Linked DNA regions of Ovis aries. The protein of the gene in region 1 interacts with the protein of each later gene in a pairwise test. Links are inferred from orthologs where the notes say so. Each region holds a gene or a part of one and is shown in the gene's direction. Other genes may lie near its edges.

Region 1 (4,003 bases):
GGGACGGGGGAGCCTATGGGGGTCGCACAGAGTCGGACACGACTGAAGTGACTTAGCAGCAGCGGCAGTCACTCAGTTTGAAAGCTTAAATGATACAATATTGGAAAAGTTCTCGGTGGCGCAGGAAAAGTGGAAATGAACCATGTCAGCTTCCAAGTATAGCCAACAACTGGGTCCGAATGGGTGCCAGGTGCTATAGTTTTATCTATCAATTTACAATCTCCTCTAATAACAAGCTTCTGGGAGAGGAATAGAACTACTTCTATTTCAGAGGAGGAAGCAGAAACCAGGCAGTTCTTCCTTCGGCGGGTGGGGAGCCAACAGGCATGGTACGCTCACCTCCCAGTATGCTGAGTCTCCCTTCTTTCAGTGGCTTTGACCCTCAGATTATGTCTTGGCCTCCAGCTCGGCTGGCAGTGAGAAATGGTCCCTCAACCAACAAATATTTATTGAGTGCCTACGATATACCAGGTAGCGTTTTCAAACTGCCATGGGATTCAAAAGACAAACAGGGCCCGGTCTTGTCTTCCAAGAAGGATCTCCCGAAAGGGTGAGAGAGGCAGGTAAACAATTCCAGGACAGTCTGATAAGGGCCGTAGAGGAGTCCGAGCAAGGGCGGCCGGAGAAGTTTCGGAGGACCCGGCGCGGAGATGGGGTCTGAAGATGCGCCCTGAAAACGCCGGCCCGGCCCCGGCTGCCCCCGGACGTCACCCCAGTTCCCGCATCCTGTCATTACCAGCTGCCCACTAGGTACTGAAGAGGAGGGGGAGGGATTGGGGAGCGAATCCCTCGTGAAGAGCGAGCAAGCACACAAAAGTAACACATCACACTTCCCGGGCGCCCGAGCCCCGCTCCGAGCTGCGCGCACGGCCCGGCGGCCTCCAGGTGCCAGGCGGACCCAGCCTTCGGCCCTCCCCCTCGGCCCTCGCCCTCCGACCTACCGCGGAGCCGGGGGCCGGGGTCCGCCGCTTCCGCCCGCCGCCCGCCGCCCCTCCCCAGCGCGCGCCATCCGGCCGCGGGGCCGCAGCCCTCGGCGCGGCCCCTCCTCCCGCGGGGGGCTCTGCCGTCCCTCGTCCCGTCCCTCCGGGCTCCAGCCGGCAGCCCACGTCCAGGGAGGGCGGGGAGAGGAGGAGGGGAGGGAGGAGGGAGCGGGGGGAGGGAGGCAGGCGAGAGAAGGGGAGCTGCTCGGAGCCCGGACCTCCCAGAGCCAGCCAGGAGCGCGCACTCGGCGGCTCTCCGGGTCCCCGCCGCCCCGCACCTCCCTCCCGCTCCTCTCGGGGTACGCCTCGCCCCTCCTTCCAGCAGCTGCTACGCCCGCGCCGGCGGCCGCCCCCCAGCCCCTCTCGGCCACATCCCCAACTCTGCGGACTCACTCCCGGGACGCGCGTCCTCGCCCCGTCCTTTCTTCCTTCCTGCCTTCCCTCGCGCCCGCCCGCCCGCCCCAGGTCTCCCTCGCGGGTCGCGATTGTCTCCGTCCCCTCCGCGCTGCGCCGGCGCCTCGCCCTGCGCCGTCTTCCCCTCGCACTTCCTGAGTCGCCGGCCGCCGCTGCCCCGACTCCAGCCCGCGGCGTCCGGGGAAGGGAGAAGTGGGCGAGCGCGCCCTCGCCCAGCCCCGCGCCCCAGCCCTGCCCGGCGAGGGAGGACCGGGAAGATGAACAACGGCGGCAAAGCCGAGAAGGAGAACACCCCGAGCGAGGCCAACCTTCAGGAGGAAGAGGTACGGAGCGGCTCGGTGCCGGGGCGGGGACGACCTGGGACGGCGGCCGCGGGCTCTGCCCAGAGTGCGGGTGGCTGGCCGGCCGGCCGGCGGGGCGCGGGTCCGGGGGCGCCGGGCTGCGCTGGGGAAGGGGCACCGAGGGTTTGGGAATCGTCCTGGCGTGGAGACGCAGCCCCAGACTGCGGCCACGGGATGAGGGTGTATCATCGGAGAGTGTGTTTTGGTGGGTCCACGCGCGTCTGCGTGCCTGAAAATTGCGTAACTTTGAGGACTTTCCCGAGACCTCTGTAAGTATAATGGTCAGCTTTGTTTGCCCCGGATTTTAAAAGCGGAATCGAGAGCTGACTCCTGGGTGACCTCAGATGATTGGGACCCGGAGGGTCAGCACTTAGTGCTGGGTCCGGGGCTGGAAGTTGTGGGGTGTGTGTTTGTGTGGTTTAGGGAAGAAACTCGGGGAAAGTTCTCATGAAAAGACACCTTCCGTTCCCTGCCCCCCCCCAACCCCCACAGTTTCTATGCGAAAAGTTCTCGGTGAAATATCTTTCCCAGCTAAGGCGTTTTGGATTAATAGATAACTCATCAGCCGCATTCTTCTCTGATGAGTCAAAGACCCCGAACCTGGCTGATTAGGTTTTGTAAATTTAGGGGCGTTGCGGTTGTGGGGCGCAGCATGCTGGAGTTTCAGACTTTGCAACTCGCGAAGTGTTGATCCAGACTGTTTTAATAGGACTTTGACGTCTGAGCGTAAATTTTATGTGGTGCGTCCCTAACAACGGTAAAAATGTTGCGGCTGCAGAGCGTTCCTTTGGTAGAAACAAAACTCAGTACATGTCGGGGAACTCCTGAACAATCCTTTCAGAATTTTGTAGTTGGGATATTTGCGTTATCTTGTTAAATGGGGCTCTGTACTTGTAGGTGCATTATCTAGAACCCAGTAAACACTGTTTTCCGCCTACCTTTTGAAAAGCCCAGGAAATTGACTTCTGAAACATTCCAAAAGGAACTTAAGAGTATGTGTAGATGCAAGAAAGTATGCAGTCTAGATAAAAGCATTCTTACAGAAAGGTGAACTGATTTCTAAGCGGTTAGGGTGTTGAGATGATTATGGAAATACTATGTTGTGTGTAAACTAAAATTCTGATTGTGAAGCCCAAGGTTGCTGAGGACTTAATACACTTAAGCCCTCAGCACTTGTAAAATGGGAACTATTTAAATGGAGAAGACAGGAGAGCTCCAAGACCAAGCCAAATATTATGCAAAATAACACAAGATTTTACTCTTAACACAGTTGTTCGTGGGTGCAACCCAGGTGAAATGCTGTTGAGCCTGACGTTGCCGTCTCACCTGAGCAAATCGCCTTTATTATTATAAACTGTTCTGAAAAGCATTATTTTTACATGCTGGTTTTTTAAATTGCAAGTGATGGAATAGTACTGACATTTCTTCTCTTTCAGAAAGATGGAGACTTGAATTGCAAGTTCTGCTTTTTTTCTTGAACCTCACTGGCTACTTTCCTATTTTATTTTCCCTACCACTGAAATAAAATTTAAAAATAAAAGGTAGTTTTTTTTTTTAAATGCTGGAGTATTTTATTTTTTATAATTAATAAAAAAGGTAGCTTTATTTAAGGAGTTGCAATGGCTTCAGAAACCTTTCTGTTTCATTAGATTGGCGATCTGTTGACTTCTAAGGGTAAGACTGTATCATACATATGAAACCATCTTTCTCTCTTCACCAGAAAGAGAAACTTGTAAAAGTTCATTAGGGTAAACCAAAGACTATTTTCTTTTTTTTTTTTTTTTTTGGCACACCATAAACTATTTGACAGAATTAAGCATAGAAAACTCAGGTTTTTCTGTTTGACCCAGCTCAGCTTAACTGCCTGCAGCACTGGCCTGTTTGCCCAAACCCTGGGTGTCTTTATATGTGCGAGGTTGGGTGCCAGTAAAATCACAGGTGATCCCAATACAATGGCTGTCTCTTAACCTGTCCTATTGCCTTGTTAAGTCTTCCTTTATCAGGTGGAAATGGCCCGTGGTTCTAGAAAGTATCTGTCTTTATAGCTAGATACTTGTTATTTTAAAAATAAGGGGACAGATTAAAAAAATAGAACCCAAGCTGTACAAAAGATGGACTAGACAAAACAGATACACCGTGAAGGGAGAGGTTTTATGATGTTAAAAATTTGGTAAAAGTTGGCCTGAATGATCTCGATAATTTTGCCCTAATTCCCTGTTTGGGGTTTATGTTTTGTTTGTGAAAAACTCCTCCTTTTTTCCCCAACCC
Region 2 (4,272 bases), on another chromosome or scaffold:
TTCGTGGGAGGAAGCAGCCAGGAAGATGCAGGCACCTCTGGTGTATGACTTGTTAACCCCCTTTTCCCTGTAGGCGGGCATTGATGGGGAGAAGGAGCATGCCAATGCCAAGAAGATCCTGCTGGAGATGGGAGAGTTCTTTCAGATTCAGGTAGGATGGCATGGGGCACTGGCAGAAAACAGGCTCCAGCTTTGCTCCTTCCCTGCCTTACAGTCTCTTCATTCCTTCTTTTCTGCACCCCCTCTGCCCAGGATGATTACCTTGATCTCTTTGGGGACCCCAGCGTGACGGGTAAGGTCGGCACAGACATCCAGGACAACAAGTGCAGCTGGCTGGTGGTTCAGTGTCTGCAGCGGGCCTCTCCAGAACAGCGCCAAATCCTGCAGGTGCCCTAGCGTGTGCTGTGGACCCCCAAGCTGTGGACTAGGGGAAAGAGCAGTGGTTTTTCAATGGGCGTGATTTGACACACACACGCACACACACACGCCCGCCCGCCCTGGCATTTGACAGTGTCAGGAGACATTTATTTTTGTCACTATAACTTGGTGTGTGTGTGTGTGTTTGCCACTAGGATCCCTAGTGGGTAGAAGCCAGAGATGCTGCCAAATACCACACATACAGTAGCTTCCCACAAAGAACTATCTGCCAGAAATTTCAAATGGGCCGAGGGTTGAGAAACCCTGGGGTAGTGGAAGCTGAGGCCTGAACCCCACTGACTGAGTGAGGATTTGGGATGGGGACTGGGGGTGGGGGGTGCTGGAGTTCGAGATCATAGCTACTCAGAGACCCTTGAAACGGGAGGCAGGAATGGAATGAATAAATGGCATTGGAGAAGTTCTGGATGGGGGAGTGGAGGGGACCTAGAGGTGTTGGGGGGAAGGATAATAAGCCCGTTTTCCTACCCCCGGCCCTTTAGGAGAACTATGGGCAGAAGGAGGCTGAGAAGGTGGCCCGAGTGAAGGCGCTCTACGAGGAGATGAATCTGTCGGCTGTGTACATGCAATACGAGGAAGACAGTTACAGCCACATTATGGGTCTCATCGAGCAGTATGCTGCGCCCCTGCCCCCAGCCATCTTCCTGGGGTTAGCACAAAAGATCTACAAGCGGAAAAAGTGACCTAGAGTCTGTGAAGGTGGGGAAGGGAGGCTTCTCAATAAATTATTGTCTAACCTGTGGTTCTTCCGTTTCTGCTTATGCCAGCCAGGGGCGCAGCTTTGTCCAGAATGGGCAGGGTGGGGGTCAGTTGCATGGAAGCCGGAACCTCAGGCTTTGATTTCAGGATCCCCTTGGGACTAAAAGGTCCCTTCAGTGGGACCTTAGAAAGCATCAAAAGCCCTTGAGCTGGGCCTGGGTGGGTGACACAGGCGAAAGCGTCAAGCGCTGGGGGCTGGGTCTGAGCCTCGCCACGCCCATGCGTGGAGGGGCGCGGCTGCGCAGCGCTGGCAGGTCGTCCCAGCCCCCCTCCCCTCCAGTCTGCGGGCTGGGCGGGGACCGCAGCCGCGGAGCCGGATGCGGCTCCAGACGCCGGAGCGGCTGCAGGAGGACCCCGGTGAGGATGGCTTGGCCTGCGGGTGTGGATGGATGGATCGGGGCTCGCGGGTTGGGGCAGGTGAGGGGAGCAGTAAAAAATAGAGAAGGGCTGGGGTGGAGCTGCACCATAGAGACAAGTGCAGAGAGAATGGGACAGACATGCTGGTGTTCGCAGCAGGGTGAAGGTGCACCGCGGCTGTAGGCTGGAGCCTGGAGCCTGGAGCCGAGGCCCGTGCCGGCCGGCCTGCCCCGCTGGAGTTGACAGGCTGATGGTTGCTCCTGCAGCTTGGGCCTTTCCCCCACGCCTGCCCCTTTCCTGCATCAACCAGCCGAACGCACCTCCCCCAACCCCATTTCAGATCATCTGGGCGGGGCCTCTCGACCCCTTCCCCTGGGAGTGGGGCTGGGCCAGATTGCAGCAGAGAGGACCAGGGTCCCTTCTGGGTCCCATCCTTTTACAAGCCTCCGCACCTCCAAGGAGATCGAGGACGCAGCCGCATTCTCTGACCCTCCCCGCCCCATTCTCCGGGGTGGGGGTTACATTCGACTCCACCTGCAAACACTGCAGCGGAAACTAATAGCCAGTCGATGTCTGTTTGCATCTCATTTAAATATTGTCCAAGGCGCCCTTCCATGCCTGCCCCAGCACCTAAGTCACCTTGGTGTTCTTCCCGCGGCCCGCACCCTCCCTGGCTGGGTTTCACTATCCCTCTCTTCTAGGGCTGCATCTGCGGTTGCCAGGCAAGTGGATGTGAGAGGGCTGATCCTCCTCATTCTCTAGAGGCCATCCTGTCGCCGCCGGCACCATGCTGTCCCCTCAGAGGGCTTTACTCTGCAACCTCAACCACATCCACCTCCAGCATGTCTCTCTAGGCCTGCATCTGTCCCGCCGTCCGGAGCTCCGGGAGGGGCCCTTGAGCACATCCCCTCCCCCAGGGGACACCGGGGGCAAGGAGAGCCGGGGCCCCTGCAGTGGGACCTTGGTGGACGCCAATTCCAACAGCCCAGCAGTGCCCTGCCGATGTTGCCAGGAGCATGGGCCAGGCCTAGAAAACCGGCAGGACCTAGCACAGGAGGAGGAGGGGGCTGCCTCTCCCTCAGACCCGGGCTGTTCCTCCTCTCTCAGCTCCTGCTCAGATCTTAGCCCCGATGAGTCCCCCATCTCAGTCTACTCCAGGGACCTCCCTGGCAACGAGGATGTTCACCCTCAGCCCAGCATCGTTCCCCTGGAGCAAGGCTCCCCTTTGGCTTCTGCGGGCCCAGGCACCTGCTCCCCAGACAGCTTTTGTTGCTCTCCGGATTCCTGCTCTGAAGCTTCCTCTCCATCCGGTCCAGGCCTGGACTCCAATTGTAATGCCCTGACCACTGGCCAGGACCTCCCTTCCCCAGGGCTAGAGGAAGAGGAGGAGGCCGAGGAGCAGGACCTCCCTACCTCTGACCTCCCAGAGGCTGATGATGAGAAAATCGATGCTGGGAAAACCGAACCCAGTTGGAAAATCAACCCCATTTGGAAAATCGACAAAGAGACAACTGATGCTAGCTGGAAAATCACTGAGAACAATAACTCGGGTTGGAAAGTCAATGGGAATACTATTGAATGTTGGAAAACTGAACCTGGAAAATTCGACTCCAGTTGGAAAACCAATACAGAAATAACTGATTCTGGTTCGAAAACTGATGCAGGGAAAATTGATGGGGGATGGAGAAGTGACGTCAGCGAGGAGCCGGTGCCCCACCGGACAATCACGTCCTTCCATGAGCTGGCCCAGAAGCGCAAGCGGGGCCCAGGGCTGCCCCTCGTGCCGCAGGCCAAGAAAGACCGCAGTGACTGGCTCATCGTCTTCTCTCCCGACACCGAGCTGCCCCCCACAGGCTCGCTCGGCAGCTCCCAGGCACCTCCCCGGGAAGTTACCACCTTCAAGGAACTCCGGTCCCGAAGCCGGGCTCCGCCCCCGCCAGTCCCGCCCCGAGACCCCCCAGCTGGCTGGGCCTTGGTTCCACCTCGGCCCCCACCGCCACCCGTCCCTCCTCGGAGGAAGAAGAACCGACCTGGGCTGCAGCCCATAGCAGAGGGGCAGCCCGAGGAGGGCAGGGCGGGCAGCCCTGCTGCTGGTGAGGAGGCCCCAGCTTCAAAGGAGCCGGAGCAGCCAGGTCCTCAGGCTGGCACTGAAGGTAAGTGGCCATAGGAGGTGGCGAGAGGAGGGCTGGCCTTTGGCCTCCCTACACCTCCAAAGCTTCCGACCCGACCCCCTGTCTGCCCTCCATTCTGTGTGTCCTATCCCACCCATCCTTCCCGTCCCCTGCTACCGGGAGCGCTCCGGGAAAGGGAAACTGGGTGGGTCCTTGGGTTACGGGGGGACTAACTCTTTGCTCCCTCTTTCTCCCGCCCCTCCTTGCCTGGCTGCCCATCCCGCTGGCCTCCTTCCCCTCCGCATCTGCCCCGCCAATCCCGCCTGCAGCCGGTCCCCTCCTGCTCCCTCGGCCCCTGGTTTTTCGGTTCTCGGCTGACGGGCGCCCCCTGTTGCAGGGTGGGAGCGCGGCCGCAGCTGGGTCTCTGCTCCTGGCGCCTCTGGCTAGCTGGCCAGGCGCTGGGCTGCGGCTCCTGGGGGCACCGAGTACCCCGGAGGAGCAGCTGCTGCCCGTTCGCCTGTCCCCGGTGGGGGCCTATTCGCCTCCGGCTAGGGGGGACCTTCCCTGCCTGGCCAGCCCTGAGCTGGCACTGCTGCTGTCCCCGCTCTTT
Region 3 (3,500 bases), on another chromosome or scaffold:
CCTCTCGTATTTTCTTTTCTTTTTTTGGAAGTTATTTTATTTTATTTTTTCTTAACTTTTATTTTTACTTTATTTTACTTTACAGTACTGTATTGGTTTTGCTATACATTGACATGAATCCACCATGGGTGTCCATGCGTTCCCGAACACGAACCCCCCTCCCACCTCCCTCCCCATAACATCTCTCTGGGTCATCCCTGTGCACCAGCCCCAAGCATGCTGTATCCTGCGTCGGACATAGACTGGCGATTCGATTCTTACATGATAGTATACATGTTACAATGCCATTCTCCCAAATCATCCCACCCTCTCCCTCTCCCTCTGAGTCCAAAAGTCCGTTATACACCTCTGTGTCTTTTTTGCTGTCTTTCGTACAGGGTCGTCATTGCCATCTTTCTAAATTCCATAGATATGTGTTAGTATACTGTATTGGTGTTTTTCTTTCTGGTTTACTTCACTCTGTATAATCCTCTTGTATTTTCATTTCTCCTCATAGTTTAATTGCCTAAGGAACTGCAAAACCTATCAAGCCAGAAAACCTCTGTGGTTTTATAACACTTCCCTCAAGTTTTTCCTTAATAAACCAATGCTTGCTGATGTTGTCTTCGAAATACAAGGTACGGTTCAGTTTTTACAAAGTTCATCGTTTGTTGTAGTTGCTTGTTTTAACTTTGTTTCAATTTTGAGTGTTTTGGGTGAAGGAATGACTATTCTCTATTGTAGGATATAGATTAATAGTACTTGAATTTCTACAAATTTCTAGAAAATTTCATTTTCTAGGGAAATGAAATATTTTATTAAAATAAGAAAATAAATTTATATTTTCCCTAGTTCGTTGTTATTGTTACCCAGTGCTTCGTTAACTTTCAGGGCCTAGCTGGGGATAGAGCGATGTTACCGATCACCCACTTGTGTATTTTGTCTGTGTATTTCTTCAAGATCGTAGTTTTTAAATCATTTGAAACTAGCCCCCTCAACATTTAACGTTACATCTAGTTTATGTTTTCCACTCTTTTCCTTTTTATTTGAGCAAAAGGTGTCTGTAGTTACTACTATATTTACTTCTTAACGACTCTCAGAGCTACTGCTGCTTTTCAGCTCTGTTGGAAAGTAATGCTACCTAATTTTAATAAAGACGAGCTCTTTTAATGCTCATTATTGTTATTCGCTTGGATACTTTGTCACTTTAGTAGATTGAATGCATAGTCTTACAAATGAATTGTGAAATACCTTTAATTAGGAAGAGTTGTTTCAAATGAATTAAGTACACTTTCAGGTGGGCCGTTACTAAAAGGAAGATTTAATTTAATTTTATGGTAGAAATGCATGGCAGCTAATAGTACCTTACTTTTTAAAAATGTTCACCAGAAGGATTTGTTTTGCTTTTAACTCTGGTCACTTGCCAAGACAAACAGTGAATTGGAAACTTTCCAAAGTGCCTTTGGGTAAGCGGCTGGTAGTAGCTGCAGTGTGAGTGCGGGCTACTGAGAATGGGACAGTCAGTGACCTTGAAATTGTGTAAAAAGGGATTCGGAGGAAAGAAGGCTCACAGTTGACCAAACTTCCTTATAATTTGCCTAGGAGGCACTGACGCAAATTATTGTACACTATTATTTTGCAATATTATTTTAATATTTTGCACTGTTATTTTAGTGTAACCTGTTGGAAAGAGTTTCATGGGGAATGTGCAGTGCATGAAAATATATGTTACACCGAGAGGAGAGAGAGCAGTGATACATAGCCTCCTGCTTTTCTTCGGTGATCCCACCCACCGACCCCTCGCAGGCACCTGCTTGCACCCCCACCGTGGCAGCAGCCGGACCCGCAAGAGCCCCCTGTAATGCCTGCGGATACCGCATGGCAGCTGCTCTGATGCCCTTTGTAGCCTCGTCAGCTCCACACCCGAGGCCCCCAAGGGAGTCAGGAGCGGAGAGGGGCAGGAATGGGTGAGAGCAGGGTCCTTCAGCACCTCTGCCGTCCACTGGTGGAGAGGCTGCCTGGCTCTGAGGAGTGGGGAGGGCAGCTCCCGGAGCTGTGGTCACGGCTCTGGGGAGGGTCTGCAGCCCTAGCTCCAGCCTTGGCTTTGCTTTCCAGGCAGTGTGTGTGTATCCTTGGGCCGGTCCTCCGTATGTCCGCCTGGAGTCTTCTCATTTGCAAAGTGAAGACCGTGAATCATGTCGATTCTAAAAGGTCCCTTCTAGTGTTAAGCTTGATGAGACGGTAGTGACAGAGCAGGTCAGGGTGTTGCTTGGAAGCATTTTTACTATTTAATAGGTTTGGCTGTGTTACTTTGCTTTTCGGATCCTCTGTTTCCTCACCTGTAAGATGGGGATGCTCATGTCTACCTGGGAGAGGGTGACTGGTCGTGAGGGTGGAGATGATGGTACATGGAAAGGCGCTTTTAGAGGCCTGATAGGCAGATCACATTGCCGTTTTCTGTGCTGAATCCAGGGCTAAGCAAATCCTTTTTTAAAAATGTTCAGACATCACTGATACTGAGAGTGGAGTTGACATGAGATATAAAACTATGACTGAAATAGTCACCAAATGTACACATATACAAATGTATAAATGTATACAATGTGTACGTAAGTTTGTGTCTTTTCCCATTAAATAAAACTAGTCACAGTAAATTTTTGGATACGATGTAGAAAGATATGTTTCCTTTTGACATTTGAATCTGTGCCTTATGAAAAATGCTATTACAAAGCTACATTCTGTCTTGTTTACTTAGTACATATTCTGAACTTCTCTTGAGCTAGACAAGTTTCCTGTTTTCAGGATAAAACAAAAGAATGATTCTAAAAATTTCATTTTTGAAACTTGGCAAGTAGTGTGAAGAAGAAGGTATAAAAAATGTAGTATTTTAGTATGTAATAAAAACAAGGATCCTTGATAATCTGTGCAAAATTACTAGAAGCTGGGCTTTAAATATTGTTTCACTCTTAAAACTCTTTTCTGAAAAAAAAAAAAAAGTAACAATTTAATACTACAAAGGAAAGTTACTTTAGGTCTTGATGTTTTCAAAGGACATATTCATCTGTTAACTAGAAAACTGAGGTCTTTTCCCCCCTGTGATTCTTCAGCTCTATCCTATTGCTGTTGTGTAAATAATCACTACCTTATTTTCATTTACATGTTTTATACTTTGCTTATATATATATACACAGTGTTTAAAAATGTGGCTGTACTGAGGTATTGTATTACAGTCTCACAGTAGAACAGTTTATAACACCAGAACAATAGTTTGAAAGGGTGAGAAACAGAAATGAGTATTTTCTTGATTGGAGGTGTAATGGTTTTTCACACTCAATTCCAAGCTTGAAGTGGGCCTTAAAAATGCTTGAAGGCCGAGTGTTCTGTTCTTGGTTTTGTAACTCCATTGTTACCACAGTTATCAACAGGAAATTTCTGTTCAAGTTTCAAGGTTACCCATCGTTTCTTTCCCATCTACTGCTATCTACTAGGTGTTTATTTTATTTTATTTTATTTTTTAGCCA
Region 4 (4,147 bases), on another chromosome or scaffold:
CCCTCTCCCCACACTATTATTGCTCCTCCACTGGCCCCACCCATTGGCACACCCTGTCTGATCTAGGAAGGGATAACATCTGCTTGGACCCAAGCTAGAATGAGAGGTAGAATGAAGGTATGTTAGGTCTCAACAGAGAGTAGAAGGGTGGTCTGAACATTTGGGGGTCCTGAAGCCAAAAGGCGAAACAGGAGTTTGAGAGACATAATATTTGAGTCTAGGAGGGAATCAGACTCTAGCATCTAGTAGAGAAGCCTTGGGGAAAGCAGACTGGGTCTTGTCATCAGAACAGCCTACCAGTGCCTGACTTGTTACTCTTCTAGTTATTTATTAGGCATATGTCAAGCACATATCGTAAGCTATCTAGCAATACCTGTTCTATGCATGAAAAATCTGCAAGAAATAATAAACAAAAAGAAATGTGAGTCTCTCAGACCTCATCTTTTCCCCAGGTTAAGGAGTGCTAAACTGTGAAAAGAGGGCAAATCTCCGAGGACCTTCATCCCCTGGGCAGGAAGTCAAAGAAACCCCGCAAGTCCTGATTTCAGAGAAATGTCATTTGTCACCAGCCCAAGAAAAGTTTTTCTCTTTGGAGACCACCGCAGGCCCTTCCTGGGGTTGCCCCCTTCAAAGCGTGATGGGAGGATCTGAGTCACTCACATACCCTGTCCCCAGCGATGGCCCAGATGGCCTGGGTCATTCCCACAGAGGAGTGGAAGGTTCCCAGTACCAAGTCAGAGAGAGGGAGGAGGAGGCATGCTTTTGGCCCTCTTTCGCTCTCTTCTTAGAATCCAGATGTTTCAGTCCTTTTTACTTTTGAGGTAGTATAAAGAGCTTCCAGCTGCTAGAGCTCTACTGACACCTCTAAGAAACAGAACTAATACTATTTGAATGATGCTACGTACTGAGAAACCACTTTCACATACATCATGTCATTTCATCTTCACCCCACCTCATAATGAGGTAGGCAGAGCTTATCCCTATTTCACAGATGAAGTAACTGAGGCTCAAAGAGGTGACTTGCCCAAGGTGACTCAACTAGCAGATGGCAGAGATGAGAGTCAAATGCAGGTCTGATTATCCCAAAGTTCTTATTGCTTCAGATATAATTCTTTGACTCCAGAAATTCACAGATGAAATAAGACCAGAGGTCAGGAGGCAGAATGCTTGAGTTCTGGAAGGAGAGGAGTGGTCTCTCCTGGAGGGGTGAAGCTCAGCCAGGGGTGTAAGACCACACCCCTTGGGGGACTGTGGCAGACTGATACTTGGGACACCCAATGGAAGACTGTGAAGTCAGGGGCGGGGCTAGCTCCAGAGTAGGGGGGCCAGGAGCCCCAGCAGCAGTTCAGAGCATGCGGTGTCCAGGAGGAAGCTACAACCGGTGAGTGGTTGCTTCTCCCCAACTGAGACTTTCCTCCCATTACATTCCTCTTTCTGTCCACTTCCTGCCAGCCTGTACCCCTCCCTGTGAGGTGTCCAAGTAGTAATTCCTCCCTCTACGGGATCTGTACTCAGGGTGAGCCTACACTTAGGAATATGCCTGCTGGGCTCTGGGACACTTAGGTCTGTCTCTTTGTATCTGGGTTCCCAGTTCTCTTCTTAAAAGCCAAGGTGGTGGTTTTGATGTGTGACAAACTTCTGCCTTGTTGGGTTCTGTCTTTCTAATCTTCACTTTTGGCTTATGAAAAACAAAATTGAACTGTCTCCTTATCCTTATCTTGAGAGGAAACAGCCTCTCCCTCCACAGTTTCCATTTCCCTTTCGCCTGCTTCCTCCAAGGTCAAAGCCTTTTCCGACATCTCTCCATCCCTGGGTGAGGAGCCTTCTCTCCTGTGGGTTCCAACCTGCTCTCTTTATCTCACTGCATGGGAGCTTTTGGTCACTTCCAGTTCTTTCTCTGAGGATGGTTTCTAGAAGTTTCATCCTGAGGGAGATGATCAGTTGATGCCTTGAGCCTGCTTTCTGCAGCTATGACCCCATCTTGCTGCCCTTTTTTCCTCTCAGGACCCTCAGCCCCACATGACAGGCTTGCAGGAGGAGGACACACTGGCTTTCTAAACTCCCATGAAACTGTGTCTAGCTCCACCCCTAACTTACAGGGCTGACTGGGTTTTGTGGTGATCCTGTCTGGAATGAGAGCTGGGGCCTGTTCGGGGGTCTTTCCCTGCAGAGGAGCTTGGAGAAGCAGAAATATCAGTGTCTGCTCTCCTTTAAGTCAGACATTGCCAACTCTGCTCTCCCTTAAGTCAGACATTGCCAACTGGCAGGACCCATCTATCCACTACTTGAGATAGCTCTTCAATGTGCAATCCTTGTTCTTTTAAGTCCTGAATTTGGTCTAATTTCCATTCTCTCACCACCTCCACACCTGCTATGATTCTGAACAGCCTCGGGTTTTCTCTTGGGTCATTTTTTCTGCTCCATTCAGGACAGAGAACTGATTCAAATCCAGCAACTCACTTTCTTCCCTCACCTCCACAGGCTTGAGTATGCGGTTCCTCCCTCCCCTTTTCACCACGGACCCTACACTGTGGCCTTTCTCTCAGAACCTCTGAGATTGGTACCAAGGCAAGGCACAATGCCCCTGTCCCCAACAAGACTGCCTAGTCCCTATGCTTCTGATCGGCTGGTACGGTTAGCAGCCAGGCTCCGGCCAGCACTATGTGATACCCTGATCACAGTGGGGAGCCAGGAGTTCCCTGCCCACAGCCTGGTCCTGGCAGGTGTGAGCCAGCAACTGGGTCGCAGGGGCCACTGGGCTGTGGTGAAAGGCATCAGCCCTTCCACCTTTGCCCAACTTCTGCACTTTGTTTACGGGGAGAGTCTAGAGCTGCATCCTGGGGAACTGGGGCCCCTTGAGGAGGCAGCCAGAACACTGGGGGTGCAGTCCCTGGAGGAGGCATGCATTAGGGCTCGAAGGGACATGGCTAGAGAAGAGCTGGGTCCAGGGCTGAAGAACCAACAGGAGGAGCTAGAGAAACACACAAGGGACTCGATGAGAGGCGTGGGGGCCTTTGGGGAGAAGCAGAGACCAGAGAAGTTTGTTAGAACTGGTGGGAAAGAGCAGGAGACGTTGCACAGGCCGCGGCCGCCAAGAGAGAGCCCTGACATGGCAGAGGCAACTCTGGAGGGTCGAGGGGAGCAGATGAAACCAAAGGAGCAACTCCACCAAGCCCTTGTTGGCCATGGCAGAGTCAGTGGGAAGCAAGAAGTAATCATGTGGTTGAGGGACAGTGCAAAGGGCTCTGAGGAAAGTCTGCGGGAGTTCCCTGGCCCCCTTCCCCCAGCAGGTTCCTTCCAAACTGGCACCACCCCCAGCCCTTGGTGGGCTGAGGCCCCTTGGTTGGGGGAGGGCCAGCCTGCCCTGTGGAGCATCCTTCTGTTGCCACCTAGATATGGCACTCCCTTCTCCCATAGCATCCCTATGACTGGAGCCTGGCAAGAGGTCTGGCCTCGGGACCAGAGGTGAGTCGAAGGGCTTATGGAAGACCTCTGGCTGGGAGGGAGTGGTTCAGGAGAGGCAGCAGTGATGGGTGGAAGGGTACCACATCTCTTATCTCTACTATACATTTCCTGAGTTGTGGTAGGACAAGAAGTTGTCACCACAGGGCAAGCCAAAGCCCAGGCCCCACAGAGGACTTATGACTCCTCCCTCCCCAGAAAGGGATCTGCAGGATCCCAGGTGTAACCAAGGCTGTAACTCTTCCCCATCCCACCCCCAGGATCCCACTGCCCCTAAACCTCCATAAAGGCCTTTGGAGCCAGAACCAGCTGGCCTCCTCCAGCCCCACCCCAGGTAAGCCCCTCACTGCCTGGCATGCACCCTGTAACGTGGTCTCGAGGCTGGGACTGAGGCCAGGGCTCCAGGAGTCCAGCTTGAGCAGGGCGCCTGCTTCACTCTGTTCCCTCCAGGTTCCCTCCCCCAGGGCCCCACACAGCTCAGCCCTGGGGAGCCGGAAGAGTCTGATCACAGGCACACAGGTGAGTAGAGTGAGGGTGCTTTTGCCTCAGCGCCACTATGGCCCCAGCCTGAGTGTTCCAGTGACCCGGCTCTGGGAATCCCAGCCCTGCCCTCCTTTGCCTTTTGTTCCCACAGGTAAACTAGCAACCTGTGTGAGTCAGGTCGGCACCGCAAGCCGTCCATCTC
Region 5 (3,992 bases), on another chromosome or scaffold:
TCAATTTACTCTGTACAAGCTGAATAAACATTTTAGGATCATGACCATCACTCTGAACCTTCCAAGACATGAAATACTTCTAAGAAAAAGAGGAATACAACACAATGCTGTTATTAATTCTTGTTTGTATCCTGGCAGTCCTACATCGATTCCTGTAAATACCACAATCTGATCAGGACTTCATAGATAAAATGAAATCACAGTTAACATTTTTTTGTGGAGAAATGTAAGCGAAAGCAGATATTCTTTCCTTAATTATCTAGGAAAATTATTTGGTTAGTGGTATTTTACCAAAATACCCCCCATATTGGTGGCTTTAAGATATATACTTTGTAAGTCAGGATAAGCCGTCTTTGAAACAGAACAATTATTCTGAATTTAGTTATTTAATTTTGTACAGCCAGAATGGTTCACCTATATTATTGAAATTTATAAATCTAAGTGCAAATAATAAATGCTAAAGAAGATGTGAAGAAAGGGGAATCCTCCTACACTGTTGGTGGCAAAGTAAACTGGTAGAGCCACTATGGAGAACATTATGGAGACTCCTTCAAAATTTTTTTTAAAAATCTAAGTGCAACTTTGATTTATAAGAAATTAATCAATCAACAAATAGGTGTTTAAATGATGAATTTACTGAAGAATAAAATGAAAATGGATCCCTACTTTATATTGATTAATGTTTCATATTTGGATTTAACATTAATTTATTCTTGGGCATATAAAAGATGGTCAGTTTTCTAATTGTTAAATACTGATGGCTGTAATTCTAGAAAGAGGACGACCAACCACAGCCCATAATATATGTAGAATTACTTCATACCCAGGTTCTTGAAATAATAAGAAACATTTGAAATGTAAAAGTGCTATGGCAATAATATCTTTAAATTCAAATAGGTGAAATTAGTTGATTAAAATACAATGAATATTCTTAAAAATCCTCTATATCTTTTCATAAACATAAAAATTCAGTCTTAAAAAAGGGTGAATAATCTGTTTTCAAATCTTATGAATGAAAACTCTATTTCCTTCTTTGCATTCCATTAACTGAGACTGAGGTAAAGATGGCCCTGCTATCATCAGATCTTTCCTTTCTGTCATCTTCCTGTTGGTGCAACGTAAAAGGAAGATAAATCTCATGACGCAAGACACTAACACCCTTTAATTAGTCCCTGGTTATTTACCTTGGGTGTTCCTTACAGTTGAAAGGCCAACTGAACCTACTGCCAAGCAAGAGCTGACAGTCACAAGGAAAGGTAATCACATTAAAACATTCTAAGAGAATAATTCTTCTTCACGGCAGTTTGTGCTTATTACACCACCAAAGTTATTTTAGAAGAACATTTTCTTCCTTTTGGCTTTTATTGTTAAGCTTGAATATCCTTTGTCATCATTATGATATTAGTTTCTATCTAAACATTAGATTCTGTATAATGTTATGATCAAATTTATTTTTAACTTCACTGTGGGTTAAAGTCAAGATTTGATACTTGCTAAAGTATTGAAGAAAATGTAGATTCTTTAAAAAAAAAAAAAGTATGTTCAAGACAGTGAATCTATTCCCACAGACAAATGTGGAGGGCTAACTTTTTAGGAAGATGAAAGTACAGGATAATCCAGATTGATCCCTTAATTAATTTCAAATTTTTATTTCTGTCTAAAGGTTATAATTTCATTTGTTATAGTATACAAATTTAAAAAATAACAGGACTTATACATCCCTCATGAAAGCTGAATAGTTCTGTTTCACAAATTTTTCTGGACTGCCAAGTTATGAAGGCAAATTCAAGTACTTACTGTTTTAAGTAACTGATAAGTAAAGAATGGTCTTATTTCTCTGGTTTCTGTTTATGCTTAAAAGGGAATAACTACTACCATTTTACAAGATGTTTTTGTATGAGTGTTTGTGATATAATTTTGCATGAATTATAAAAGATTCCATGATTCACCATAGAAATGTTGTTCAGACTACAATCTTAAAAGTTAGCCAATGATTATTGTACAGTATTTTTTCTATGTTCACTGTAATGTGTTATAATCATCAAGCTTGCTAAAAGACTAGATATTAATTATTCCACCACAAAAAAGAAATGATAATTATGTGACATGACAGAGTTGTTAATTATCAATACAATTGCAATCAAATTACAAAACACAAATACATTAAATAAATATGTTAGACACATTAAATTAACACAATGTTATATATTAAATCTATTTCAACTAAGAAAAATTTCACTGGCAAGTGAAGAATTCATAAGGAGCTCCATTCTATTTAATGAAATTTGAGGAAACAATCAACGCTGTAGGTTGCTCAAATTTGAACTCACACTAACTTCTTTTCCATTCAATGATATTCCATCAGAGTTTCTGAAGTCAGTTTAGTATACAGCCTTTCTAATCATTCTTACCTGGAAATCAAAAGTGAGTTGAGTCTGGTGTGCGCTCTTTATCAAGCCTGAACTTCTAACTCTGTGACCCTAGTCTGTAAAACTCAGTTTGCAGGTTTCAAGTCTATACAAGTATGATGATACAATGGCTGTAACAAGATGTAGTATTTAATTTATAAATGCAAAATTTATTAATATTTTAAAAATCTAAAATGTTATGTGTATCTTTCTAAAAAGACAATTTAGCTTTTAAAATCAAATAAATAGGTATTACTACCCTATACTCGAGTCTTTAGAAAGATAAGGTTAATTTATTTCTTCAAATATTTCATCCAGAAAACTGTAATTGTCATATCTTATATTTTTTTCATTAAATTGATCAAGCTAATTATATAACTTATGATTACTGGAGAAGCAGATTATGAAAAATGAAGTTTCAGGATACTCCCCCCAATCTCTTTAAGTATTCCTATGAGATCAATCACAGAATCAGAGAATTTCAGAAATTTCAGTTCAAACTTCTATTTATAGGCAAGAAGAATACTAGGGCCAGATAAAGGGAAATACTTATTCAAAGTAGAGAATAGAGCCCAAGATAGAGATCAGTTCTCCAAAGCAATGTAGTCACCTCAGTTTCTTATCTGAAGCCACTCAACTTCAATTAGGAAAGCTATCTAATTCTTTGGCCTGGCATTTAATGCCTCATCTTTCTCTGCCCTAAACTTTCTTTCCAACTTTGTCTTTCCCTTCTCTCCATTCAAATGCCCATGGATATTCCTAAGGAGTTCTCTTTTCCTTGAAGTTCCTCTCTATTAATCTCTGCATGGGCAAGTCCCACCTATATGCTATGTCCTACAGAAATAATTTATTGATTTCTTAACTGAACACTTCTATCTGTAGAACAGCACTTGTGTGACACTTTCTACTCTCTCTTATCTAACAGTGATTTGTGTACGTTGCAACTCTTCCTAAAATTCATGTTACTTGACCAATTCACCTTAATAATCTCATCACTGACACACAGAGCTTTGTTCCTACTATGTTCTTGGCACAATGAAAGGAATACAGGATTAACCTTGTAATGAGACATTCAGTAACATAACCAAAAATTAAATTCATATATTTCCTACCGTTTGGTTTTTCTAAAGCTTTTGATAAAATAGATTTTTCACATTGGCTAAATCTTCCCCTAAATCTGGCTTTTCCCACCCTTAAACCATAGAAAACATTGCTCCAAGTCACTCCTAAATTATCAGCAACAGATCCTGTTAATCTAATGTTTTTAATTTAATTTTAGGTGCAATGATGAAGAGTTTTTTCCTAGTTGTGACTATCCTGGCATTAACCCTGCCATTTTTGGTGAGTTAATTTCATCTAATCAGTTTGTATCAAATTTTTTAAGTTTATTTAAGGGCTTTAATTGTGTAAATTTCTAAATACAGTTATATTTTATAGAACAAAATAGCTGTATAAGTAATTTATTTTTACATTTATTTTTCTTATTAAAGTCATAATCTTCTGGATATTCCTCTGGTTTCTAGGAATAAAGAAATCACACTTTGTCATCTAGAGAAAACCTTTAAAATTCTCATATGCTAGAAA
Region 6 (4,197 bases), on another chromosome or scaffold:
TTCAGAACTGACACGAAAGAACTTTCTAAAACAAACAAATCACCACCATCTGTTTGCTTTCTGCCTGATAAGGAATTGTCAGCCTTACGTCTGAGAGAGAAGACACACTCTCTAGTCCCAGCACTGCCCCTAGCTTACTGGGCAACTTCAAGGAATCTCCCAACTTCAAGAATCTCCCAGCTGCCTCATCTGCCAAAGAATTTGATCGGTCACTTTCGTCATTATCTCTTGACTTTCTGCTGTCTTAGATGAGGTCCAGCTCACCTCAACCATCTCTCCTCCTCTTAAAGCTGTGTCACCACAGGACATGGTAGTGAAGGTCACAGATCACCGTGTCTCTTGGGATGACTTATTTAATGTCTCAGGTCTCTGTTCCCTTCTTCATAAAATGAGGGTAAGAGGCCAGTGTATCATTGGGCTGATAGAAGGATTATATGAGTTCATGAAGATAAAATATTTACAACAGTACTTGGCACAGATAAGGGCTCCACTACTCTGTTGTTAGGTATTAATGATGATTATTATTATTTACTTTATTGGATAACTTTGTAGTGTAGTGTTAAAGTGTTAAATGAAATATACTATTGATAAATCAAGAAATAGAAGTATAAGCATTATTTGGGGCTAAAAAAGGCTCCAGTGGGTAGGATAAGAGAAGCTGGAATATTACTTTTTCTTTTTACCTTTTTAAATTTATTATTATTATTTGCACCATGCTACATAGCTTGGTGACTTGTGGGATTTTAGCTTCCCAACCAGGAGCCAAACCCAGCCCTTGGCAGAGAAAGTTCAGAATTCCGACCACTAGACCACCAGGTTATTTCTACTTTCCTTTTTTTTTTTAAGCCCTCCTGTCCTTTGATTTTTCAAGGATGTGTCTGGACTACGACAACACTGTTGTTTTGTTTCGTTTTTTTAATTTCATCAGATTGAGCAAACAGATCGCTCAAGTCCGTCTCAAATCTCATAGTTCAAGGACTGGCTGATTTTATAGAGCAGTACTTTTTAGGTGACCCGTTTATCTTTGTGTTCACAGCTACCTTAATACGTTTGAACTTTTCAGGAAATCCTCATAAAGGTTTGAAATAAACACAATCACCTTGGCATGTTCATAACTTGAGTGTGTTTCAATTTCCGGGAAAGGACAGAAAATGAGGAAGGGGAAGTATAAACTTGGTCGGTACTTAACCTTAGAGGCAATTGACTTGTATTTTACCCGCTTGTAATCTTTTCCCTGAAATCGACTCCCACAAAGGAAGGATGATTGGTAGCAGAGCGTGAGAGCGCAAAGGGCAGAACGGCGGTGAAAGCGTTAACCGGGCTGGGTAAGGCGATCCCTGAAATGAGTTAAGACTCGAGCTAAAGTTTTCAAAGCGGCGGCAGCAGCAGCTCCAGGGGAAACGGAAGCCGGTGGAGGGAGCCTGGCGGAGCATCGAGGACAGTGCTGAGCTGAACTCAGACCCGGGTGGCCAGCTCAAGGTTAGTGGCCCCCACCCCGCACACCTCCGCGTGCTGACATCTTTGGAGCTGTCTCCGGAGGGCGGGCGCCTTCTCCCAGCCTGGCTTGTCCTGTCTGCCTGTCTACACCAGTGGGGCCACTGGCTCGTGCCAACCCTCCGGCTAGCGTTCCCCTAAGCCCTGGAGCTGAGAGGGACCGGGACCTGTTCCCAAGCCACTTTCCTTAAGAGGGGGACTTCTCAGACACCCACAAGGAGACTGTTCAGAATACACACACACACACGCGCGCGCACACACACACACGTACACACACACACACACACACACCCCTGTATTGGCTGCCCCATCTTGGTTCTTGCAGGCTGTGACCACAATCCCAAATTCCTATCTGCTTCAGTTGAAACAGAACAGTTGTCAAAGTAACAAAACAGGCTGTGCAACTTTATCTATGGGAGGGATGGTGTCTCTGAGGCTAAGATAATCAAGGTAAGAAGGCGAAAAAAAGAGGAACGAAAAGAAAGAAAAAACTTTCAAGCTCCACAGCCTGGAGTTGAGGCAAAACAATTTTTGAAAATTAGGTTCTCGTAGAAATTGTACATTGCTAGAACAAAATAAAGGGGGAAGATGTACTGTGAAGGATAGAATTCTACAACTACGGGAGATTCCCATACACTTATGTAAACAGCTTGTTATCAGTGTGATGCAGAGAACAGATACACTTAAAGAAGAGAAAGAGAGAAAATAGCTTCAGGGAAATTACATCCTGAGGGGCCTTTCATTTGAGATCCAGACGGACTGCTGGAAAGCTTCCTCCTTGGAGCCCCGGGTCAGTTCTGTCTCCCTTCTCTCGCCTTGCTCACGGAGAGGCAATGAGTAAGTTAGTCCGGCAAGCAGTCAGAAGCTGTATTAGCTGCTCCCTCGCATCCTCCAGCAGGCAGGAGTCGAGGTCTCTACCTGCTAGCACTGAATCAGAATGAGTCATCTGAAACTTGGGTGCGGAAACAAAGTCCCTGCGAACCGCCTTATGAGGCTCTGCCTCCTGTAGGTGGGATATACCTCTGAAGGCAATCACAATTTTTTCCGTCTTCCTTTCTCCTTCAGACAAGCGGGCATCCTGACGCTCTCAAGAAGCCCCGTCTCTACCCCCACTGGCTCAGCTGACCAGACCATGTGGACTCTGCCCCTCCAGGTCAGGACTGGAGTTTTAAAATAAAATGGATGACGTGACGTTACTTGATCTTCTGGAGTGTCCCGTGTGCCTTGAAAAGCTCGATGTCACCGCCAAAGTTCTCCCTTGCCAGCACACCTTCTGCAAGCCATGTCTCCAGAGGATTTTCAAGGCCCACAAGGAGCTGAGGTGCCCCGAGTGCAGGACCCTGGTGTTCTGCAGCATCGAGGCGCTGCCAGCCAACCTGCTGCTCGTGCGCCTCCTGGACGGCGTGCGGGCCGGACAGGGCTCGGGGAGAGGGGGGTCCTTCCGCCGGCCTGGCGTGCTGACCCCGCAGGACGGCAGGAGGAGCAGGACTCACCCCAGAGGTCCGCAGTGCAGTCCTTTCCGGCTGGTGCCTAACGTCAGAATCCACATGGATGGGGTAAGAAAGATCTCATCTGTTCCTTCGTGTTTCCTTGGAGGTTGGGTTTGTGCGCGCCAGCAGCTGGGGCTTCTCTTCTTTTAGCTCTGTTTCAAAGAGCCGCTGCCGAGGATTCCCTGAGGATAAGTTTCTGTGGGTGGTGATTGTCGTACTGAGACTCAGTGGAACCCTGAGCCTATCCAGTCCAATCAGGAACTTTTAAAATTCTTAAAGCTACCCAGGTCCTCCCTGCTTCTGGTCCAGAAGGTGGTAGAACATGGAAAGCCTTCTTGACTGTTTATTTATTTGTTTATTTTTTACTACACTGGGTCTTTCTTGTGGTGTGCAGGCTTTTCATTGCAGTGGCTGCTCTTGTTTGGAAGCACAGGCTTAGAGCCTGCGTCAGTAGTTGTGGTACACAGCCTAGTTACTACTGCCATGTGGGATCTTCCAGGACCAGGGATCCAACCCGTATTCCCTGAATTGGCAAGCAGATTCTGAACCACTGGACCACCTGGGAAGTCCTTTGATTATATTCTTGGTCTTTCATTTCTGCTGTTCTGAGGCCAAACCAGGGCATGGGAAATGCACAGAGGATGAGAAAAAGAAAAACAAATCCAACTGCTTGTCACTTTTGCAATCTCAGAGAAGTTACTAAATGTCAGGTTTTGTTTGCATTTTACCCAAATCCATCTTGCCACTCCCAGTCATAAAGTGCCATGATGACAATGCTCATTCACAATCACTCAAAGTTATCAAGACACTGGACGCACAAAGTTCGATCAGGAAGGAAGCATCTATGTGGGTGGAGTGATTGACAGGAAAGGCTGGGCTGTGAAGTACAACCGACATGTACAGAAGCCCCAAAGATGTGTCTTACTTTACAAAATGAATAAACCATACAGAAAATGCACATCAGAGCCTGCCATGAAAAATGAAGCGCCCCAGGTGAGCCACAGGAGATCACCCAGTAATGCATTTTGTGTTTGGACAACGTGAATCGTCCTGTCCAGCCTTGTGGGCACATCCTCGGGACTTTATATGACCTGCCTGTGAGCCTCATTCTGGGAAGCTGGGGAAGGGGATAACTCAAGAGAAGATCATGGTCCTGTGGCTCCAAGAGGATTATTGGCTGTCATCCCCAGAGTCAGTGTGTCTAAGTGGGCGT
Region 7 (4,014 bases), on another chromosome or scaffold:
GCCGTGGAGAGTCAGTGGCGGTTACTCTTGTCTTTGAGGTTGGCAGGAGTGTCAACTGGCACGGTCTTTTTGGAGGGAAAATTGGGGGTATTTATCACAAGGTGAAGTGCATGTAGTTTGTAGCAGACAACTTTGAGAACGATCCGTCTGCTTGTCTGTCCAGAAGAGTCTTTAACGTGCAGAGTCTGATGCGGCCAATAAAGCTGGAGGCCCGGACTCTGTGGGTCTCCTTTCCGAAGGGGCTGTAGCCGCATGTTGTTGGAGGCGGGGTTGGTGGGGGGGCTGCAGCTGACTGGGGTGGGTGTGCAGGGGAAGCTGGGGTGAGACAGTGGTTTTTCAAGGGAAGCAGGTTCTTATGCAAGATCTCCATGTTTTAAAAAAGCGGACACTAACTAAAACATTAAAATGCCTGAGAGAGGGACCAGGGTGTGTGTGTGTGTGTGTGTGTGTGTGTGTGTGTGTGTGTGTGTGTAGGCCCCCAGGGGTGGGGGCCTCCTTCCATGGCCCGCAAGTGCCCTGCCCCGTGGGGCTGCCCGACGGGCTTTGGAGAGGCTTGGAGGCCCGTGTCCCTGAGCCTGGGTTCTCTGAGGGAGCTGGCCCTCCCTTCCAGTTTGGATGGGCTCTAGAGACTCTGGGCCGTGCTAACCCTCCCTTCACACCTGTCTTCCCCTTTCTGCTCACCGCAGACCCTTGGGCTTTTATGTGGGCGCTGGCTGCCCGCTGGGGACATCCTGGGGCCCCCGGAGTGGGCAGAATGGTGTGTGCCAGGTCTTAGCCCGCTCTGCGGAGGGGCCCCTCCTCCAGCTGTGGGGGCCTGGCTCTGGTGAGCCGCCATGGCCGTGGCGGGTAGAAGGCAGCCCAGACACGGGGCAGGACGGGTAGCCCAGTGAGGGCCAAAGGGCCAGGCACCCTGGGTGCCGGGGGCGGGGATGAAGGACCACAGAGCACTCACTCGCCTCCTCATGGGAGGCGTCTCTGGGCCTCCACACCGAGCCCCCCAGGAAGGTCAGCTGTAGCCCTGCATGGCCTTGTTGGAGGATGAGCGCCCAGGGGGAGGCCAGTCAGTCAGCAGAGGGGGGCCCCGGGCATCCTTGTCCTGACGCGGGCCCTTTCGCCTCCCGCCCCATCTCTGCTGTGCCAAAGCCACACAGCTGGTGGGACGGTCCTGGGCCCTGACGCAGCCCTGGGCCGCGGCCAGCACCCGGCTCCTGGCCACACAGCAGGCTCTGTCTCCCCGGGAGCGGGTTGGAGAGGCAGGCGCTCCTGCGGCCACCCCACGACTGCTCTGCTGTCCCGGTGAGCCCCTCTCTGTGCACCTCTACCCGGCCCCTGGGGCTCGGGACCTGCTCCTCTTTGGGGTGGGGGCAATGGGCTTGTGGATGAGGTTCCTCTCTCACGGGAAGACTTCCTGAGGGCCCCGGGGTAGGTTTAGAGGATGGGATGGGTGTCGACTGCATGTCGGGGCCCAGGGAGCATTGCTGCTCACGTGGCCTGGAGGCGACGCTCCAGCAGGCAGGAGTGTCTATAGTTGAGGCCTCGCCCTGGACAGGGCACGGGACACCTGGGTTAGGCCGGAGACCCATCCTGAGGGGACAGCCAGGTCTGCATGTCTAGAGTGCAAAGGGCCTGTGACCTCCTGTGAATGTGTCATTGCCGGCAGGCCCACAGGACCAGTGTGCTAGCCTGGAGGGTGTGGGCAGGGGTCCGGGCTGGCTCGAGCTCCAGGGCGGGGCCCAGGCAGGACTGGCTGCGGGACTGCAGTGCGGGCCCTGCCTGGACGCAGGGACCCCCAGGGGCTCCCAGACTGTCTTGGAGGTCGCTTCTCCTCCCCAGGCCTTGCCTCCCCCTCTGTGATGCGTCGCCCCTGGGGAGGTCCATGCTGGGGTGGGTGGATGGGTGCTGTCTCCCCTGAACCCTGGGGCACAGCCATCCTGGTGCAGCCAAGCGCCTGGAGCCCGCTACACTGGCCCAACGGAGCAGGCCGTGAGCTGGAGGGCCTGCTCTCCTGCCTAGATTGAGTGGCCCCCCGAGACTCTGGGGCTCTGCAGGGACCCAGGGCCTGGCCCGGGCGCGGGGGCCCTGGGTGCCCTGCAGCACCACCGGCTCTGTGCAGGGGGCGCACTGGCCAGCGGGCCTTTGGACCGTCCATTCCCGCTGCCTGGGCCCGCAGTGGGGGCGGGGCCCGCGCCTCGTGCTTCTGCTGGCATCGGCTCCGCGGGGTCCCCAGGGGAGAGAATGTCCCCTTGTGTCCATGCAGCCTGCCGGGCACGCGGCACCGGCACCTGCTTCCTGCTGGGGCACAATCGCCCTTTGGATGCCGAGCGGGGTGGCCCGGGGCTTCCAGGACGCAGGAAGCCGCTCCTCTGGCACCGCCCCCAGGCGGGGGGTGGGCGGGCCTGGAGTGAGGCGGGGTCTGCAGGGCTCAGTGGGGCGCGGGGCGGGGTCTGCAGGGCTCAGTGGGGGCGGGGCGGGGCCGGCCGTGAACCTCCCAGGGGCAGGCGGTCCTGGGCAGAGGTGAACCGGAGCGGAAGTGTGTGTCTGCCTGGGGGATCTCAGGCATGGAAGTGTGTGCCTTCGTCCTGGTTGCCCCACTCTCCATCCCGACTGTGTCCTTGGATGCGCCGGCCTCGCTGTGCCGGGACTACCTCGCCTCAGCACCCGGCCTGGTCACCGCTGTGTGTCTGGCTCTCAGGCCTCCACTGTTCAGGCACTCCTCGCTCCCGTCGCAGCCTCGGGACCCCTCTGTGCTGCGGGGAGGGGAGCGGACTCAGTCCTGTCCCTGGATACAGCCGGGGCCCCCCAGCTCTGTGCAGGAGGCCAGATCCTGTGTAGCCCAGGGCAGCCCACCCGAGGCCCCACCCGAGGCCCCGCCCTCGCGAGCCTCCCTCAGATGCATCCTCCTGGGAGGGGGGCAGCCCCCGCAAAGGCTGCCCAGGCCACGCTGGGAAGACATTTGAGCTGCAGTCGTCGGGGAGGGGTTGTCCTGGACTGGGGAGGGGGGGCGTGAGGGGCCTGGGACAGGGTGGTCTCTGGGGTGGGCACGGGAAGGTGAGTGGGACCCCGGCACCCGCAGAAAACCCTCACCCATCTGGAGGGACCAGCAGGTAGCCTGGAGGAATGCCTGCCGCTGACCCGCTGACGCAGGGTCCTCGCCCCGCCCGCAGAGCATGGGGACCCCGCGTGTCCCCGCGCGGACCGTCCTCTTCCAGCGCGAGCGCACCGGCCTGACCTACCGCGTGCCCGCGCTGCTGCTCGTGACCCCCGGGCCCTCCCTGCTGGCCTTCGCAGAGCAGAGGCTCAGCCCCGACGACGCCCACGCCCACCGTCTGGTGCAGAGGACCGGCGCGCTGGCCGGGGGCTCCGTGCAGGTGAGCGCGCTGGGGGGCGGGTTCGGGGACCGAGCGGACGGATGTGAGACGCGGGGCTGAGGCTCGGCCCCTCCCCGCAGTGGGGCGCCCCGCGCGTGCTGGGGACGGCGGCCCTGGACGAGCACCGCTCCATGAACCCCTGCCCCGTGCACGATGAGCGCACGGCCACGGTCTTCCTCTTCTTCATCGCCGTGCGTGGCCGCACCCCCGAGGCCGCGCAGATCGCCGCGGGCAGGAACGCCGCGCGCCTCTGCTGCGTGACCAGCCGGGACGCGGGGCGCAGCTGGGGCGGCGCGCGGGACCTCACGGCGGAGGCGGTGGGCAGCGCTGAGCAGGGTAGGTGGGCGCGGCCGGGCCTGCCAAGGGGCGAGGGGCGGGGCGTCTGAGCCGGGATGGGGCGGAGTGTGCATCCGGGGCAGGTGGCGGGTATCGGGCTGGAGGATCCGCCTCGCCCCGCTCCCAGCCCCAGCGCCGCCGTCCGGCCCTGCCTTCCCGAGCCTCTGCCAGCGCACCGAGCCTGCTGGCCCCAAGCCCCGGACGGTCACTCTTTCACCCCTTCCTCCTCGGCGCCCCCCCGCCCCCACCCCGCCCGCCTAGGGTTGCAGCGGGTGGGTTGGCTTGACCCCAGAGCTTTCATGTCTTCTTG

The links.
Region 2: the proteins of RBPMS (region 1) and RUSC1 interact in binary tests that used the Homo sapiens proteins (3 or more experiments, as listed by UniProt). The two-hybrid records come from large-scale screens. The link is inferred for Ovis aries from reciprocal best matches to the Homo sapiens genes RBPMS and RUSC1.
Region 3: the proteins of RBPMS (region 1) and RHOBTB3 interact in binary tests that used the Homo sapiens proteins (3 or more experiments, as listed by UniProt). The two-hybrid records come from large-scale screens. The link is inferred for Ovis aries from reciprocal best matches to the Homo sapiens genes RBPMS and RHOBTB3.
Region 4: the proteins of RBPMS (region 1) and ZBTB32 interact in a two-hybrid assay, tested with the Homo sapiens proteins (3 studies listed by BioGRID). The two-hybrid records come from large-scale screens. The link is inferred for Ovis aries from reciprocal best matches to the Homo sapiens genes RBPMS and ZBTB32.
Region 5: the proteins of RBPMS (region 1) and CSN3 interact in binary tests that used the Homo sapiens proteins (3 or more experiments, as listed by UniProt). The two-hybrid records come from large-scale screens. The link is inferred for Ovis aries from reciprocal best matches to the Homo sapiens genes RBPMS and CSN3.
Region 6: the proteins of RBPMS (region 1) and SH3RF2 interact in a two-hybrid assay, tested with the Homo sapiens proteins (2 studies listed by BioGRID and IntAct). The two-hybrid records come from large-scale screens. The link is inferred for Ovis aries from reciprocal best matches to the Homo sapiens genes RBPMS and SH3RF2.
Region 7: the proteins of RBPMS (region 1) and NEU4 interact in a two-hybrid assay, tested with the Homo sapiens proteins (2 studies listed by BioGRID and IntAct). The two-hybrid records come from large-scale screens. The link is inferred for Ovis aries from reciprocal best matches to the Homo sapiens genes RBPMS and NEU4.

The regions. Positions count from the first base shown.
Region 1 is NC_056079.1:25,628,233-25,632,235, forward strand, and holds the start of RBPMS (RNA-binding protein with multiple splicing), read left to right. Parts: upstream 1-1,203; 5' UTR 1,204-1,651; coding exon 1,652-1,717; intron 1,718-4,003.
Region 2 is NC_056054.1:105,492,978-105,497,249, forward strand, and holds the start of RUSC1 (AP-4 complex accessory subunit RUSC1), read left to right. Parts: upstream 1-1,472; 5' UTR 1,473-1,611; intron 1,612-2,252; 5' UTR 2,253-2,338; coding exon 2,339-3,704; intron 3,705-3,991; coding exon 3,992-4,272. Other genes in the region: FDPS (farnesyl pyrophosphate synthase), read left to right, coding at 74-151, 253-387, 918-1,118. UniProt on the Homo sapiens protein: Associates with the adapter-like complex 4 (AP-4) and may therefore play a role in vesicular trafficking of proteins at the trans-Golgi network. Signaling adapter which plays a role in neuronal differentiation.
Region 3 is NC_056058.1:92,713,629-92,717,128, forward strand, and holds part of RHOBTB3 (rho-related BTB domain-containing protein 3), read left to right. Parts: intron 1-496; coding exon 497-617; intron 618-3,500. UniProt on the Homo sapiens protein: Rab9-regulated ATPase required for endosome to Golgi transport. Involved in transport vesicle docking at the Golgi complex, possibly by participating in release M6PRBP1/TIP47 from vesicles to permit their efficient docking and fusion at the Golgi.
Region 4 is NC_056067.1:45,734,545-45,738,691, forward strand, and holds the start of ZBTB32 (zinc finger and BTB domain-containing protein 32), read left to right. Parts: upstream 1-1,347; 5' UTR 1,348-1,352; coding exon 1,353-1,381; intron 1,382-2,481; coding exon 2,482-3,465; intron 3,466-3,722; coding exon 3,723-4,147. UniProt on the Homo sapiens protein: DNA-binding protein that binds to the to a 5'-TGTACAGTGT-3' core sequence. May function as a transcriptional transactivator and transcriptional repressor. Probably exerts its repressor effect by preventing GATA3 from binding to DNA.
Region 5 is NC_056059.1:86,392,717-86,396,708, forward strand, and holds the start of CSN3 (kappa-casein precursor), read left to right. Parts: upstream 1-1,192; 5' UTR 1,193-1,256; intron 1,257-3,687; 5' UTR 3,688-3,692; coding exon 3,693-3,749; intron 3,750-3,992. UniProt on the Homo sapiens protein: Kappa-casein stabilizes micelle formation, preventing casein precipitation in milk.
Region 6 is NC_056058.1:54,888,132-54,892,328, forward strand, and holds the start of SH3RF2 (E3 ubiquitin-protein ligase SH3RF2), read left to right. Parts: upstream 1-1,397; 5' UTR 1,398-1,479; intron 1,480-2,559; 5' UTR 2,560-2,672; coding exon 2,673-3,050; intron 3,051-4,197. UniProt on the Homo sapiens protein: Has E3 ubiquitin-protein ligase activity. Acts as an anti-apoptotic regulator of the JNK pathway by ubiquitinating and promoting the degradation of SH3RF1, a scaffold protein that is required for pro-apoptotic JNK activation.
Region 7 is NC_056054.1:177,599-181,612, reverse strand, and holds the start of NEU4 (sialidase-4), read left to right. Parts: upstream 1-1,214; 5' UTR 1,215-3,167; coding exon 3,168-3,368; intron 3,369-3,448; coding exon 3,449-3,704; intron 3,705-4,014. UniProt on the Homo sapiens protein: Exo-alpha-sialidase that catalyzes the hydrolytic cleavage of the terminal sialic acid (N-acetylneuraminic acid, Neu5Ac) of a glycan moiety in the catabolism of glycolipids, glycoproteins and oligosacharides.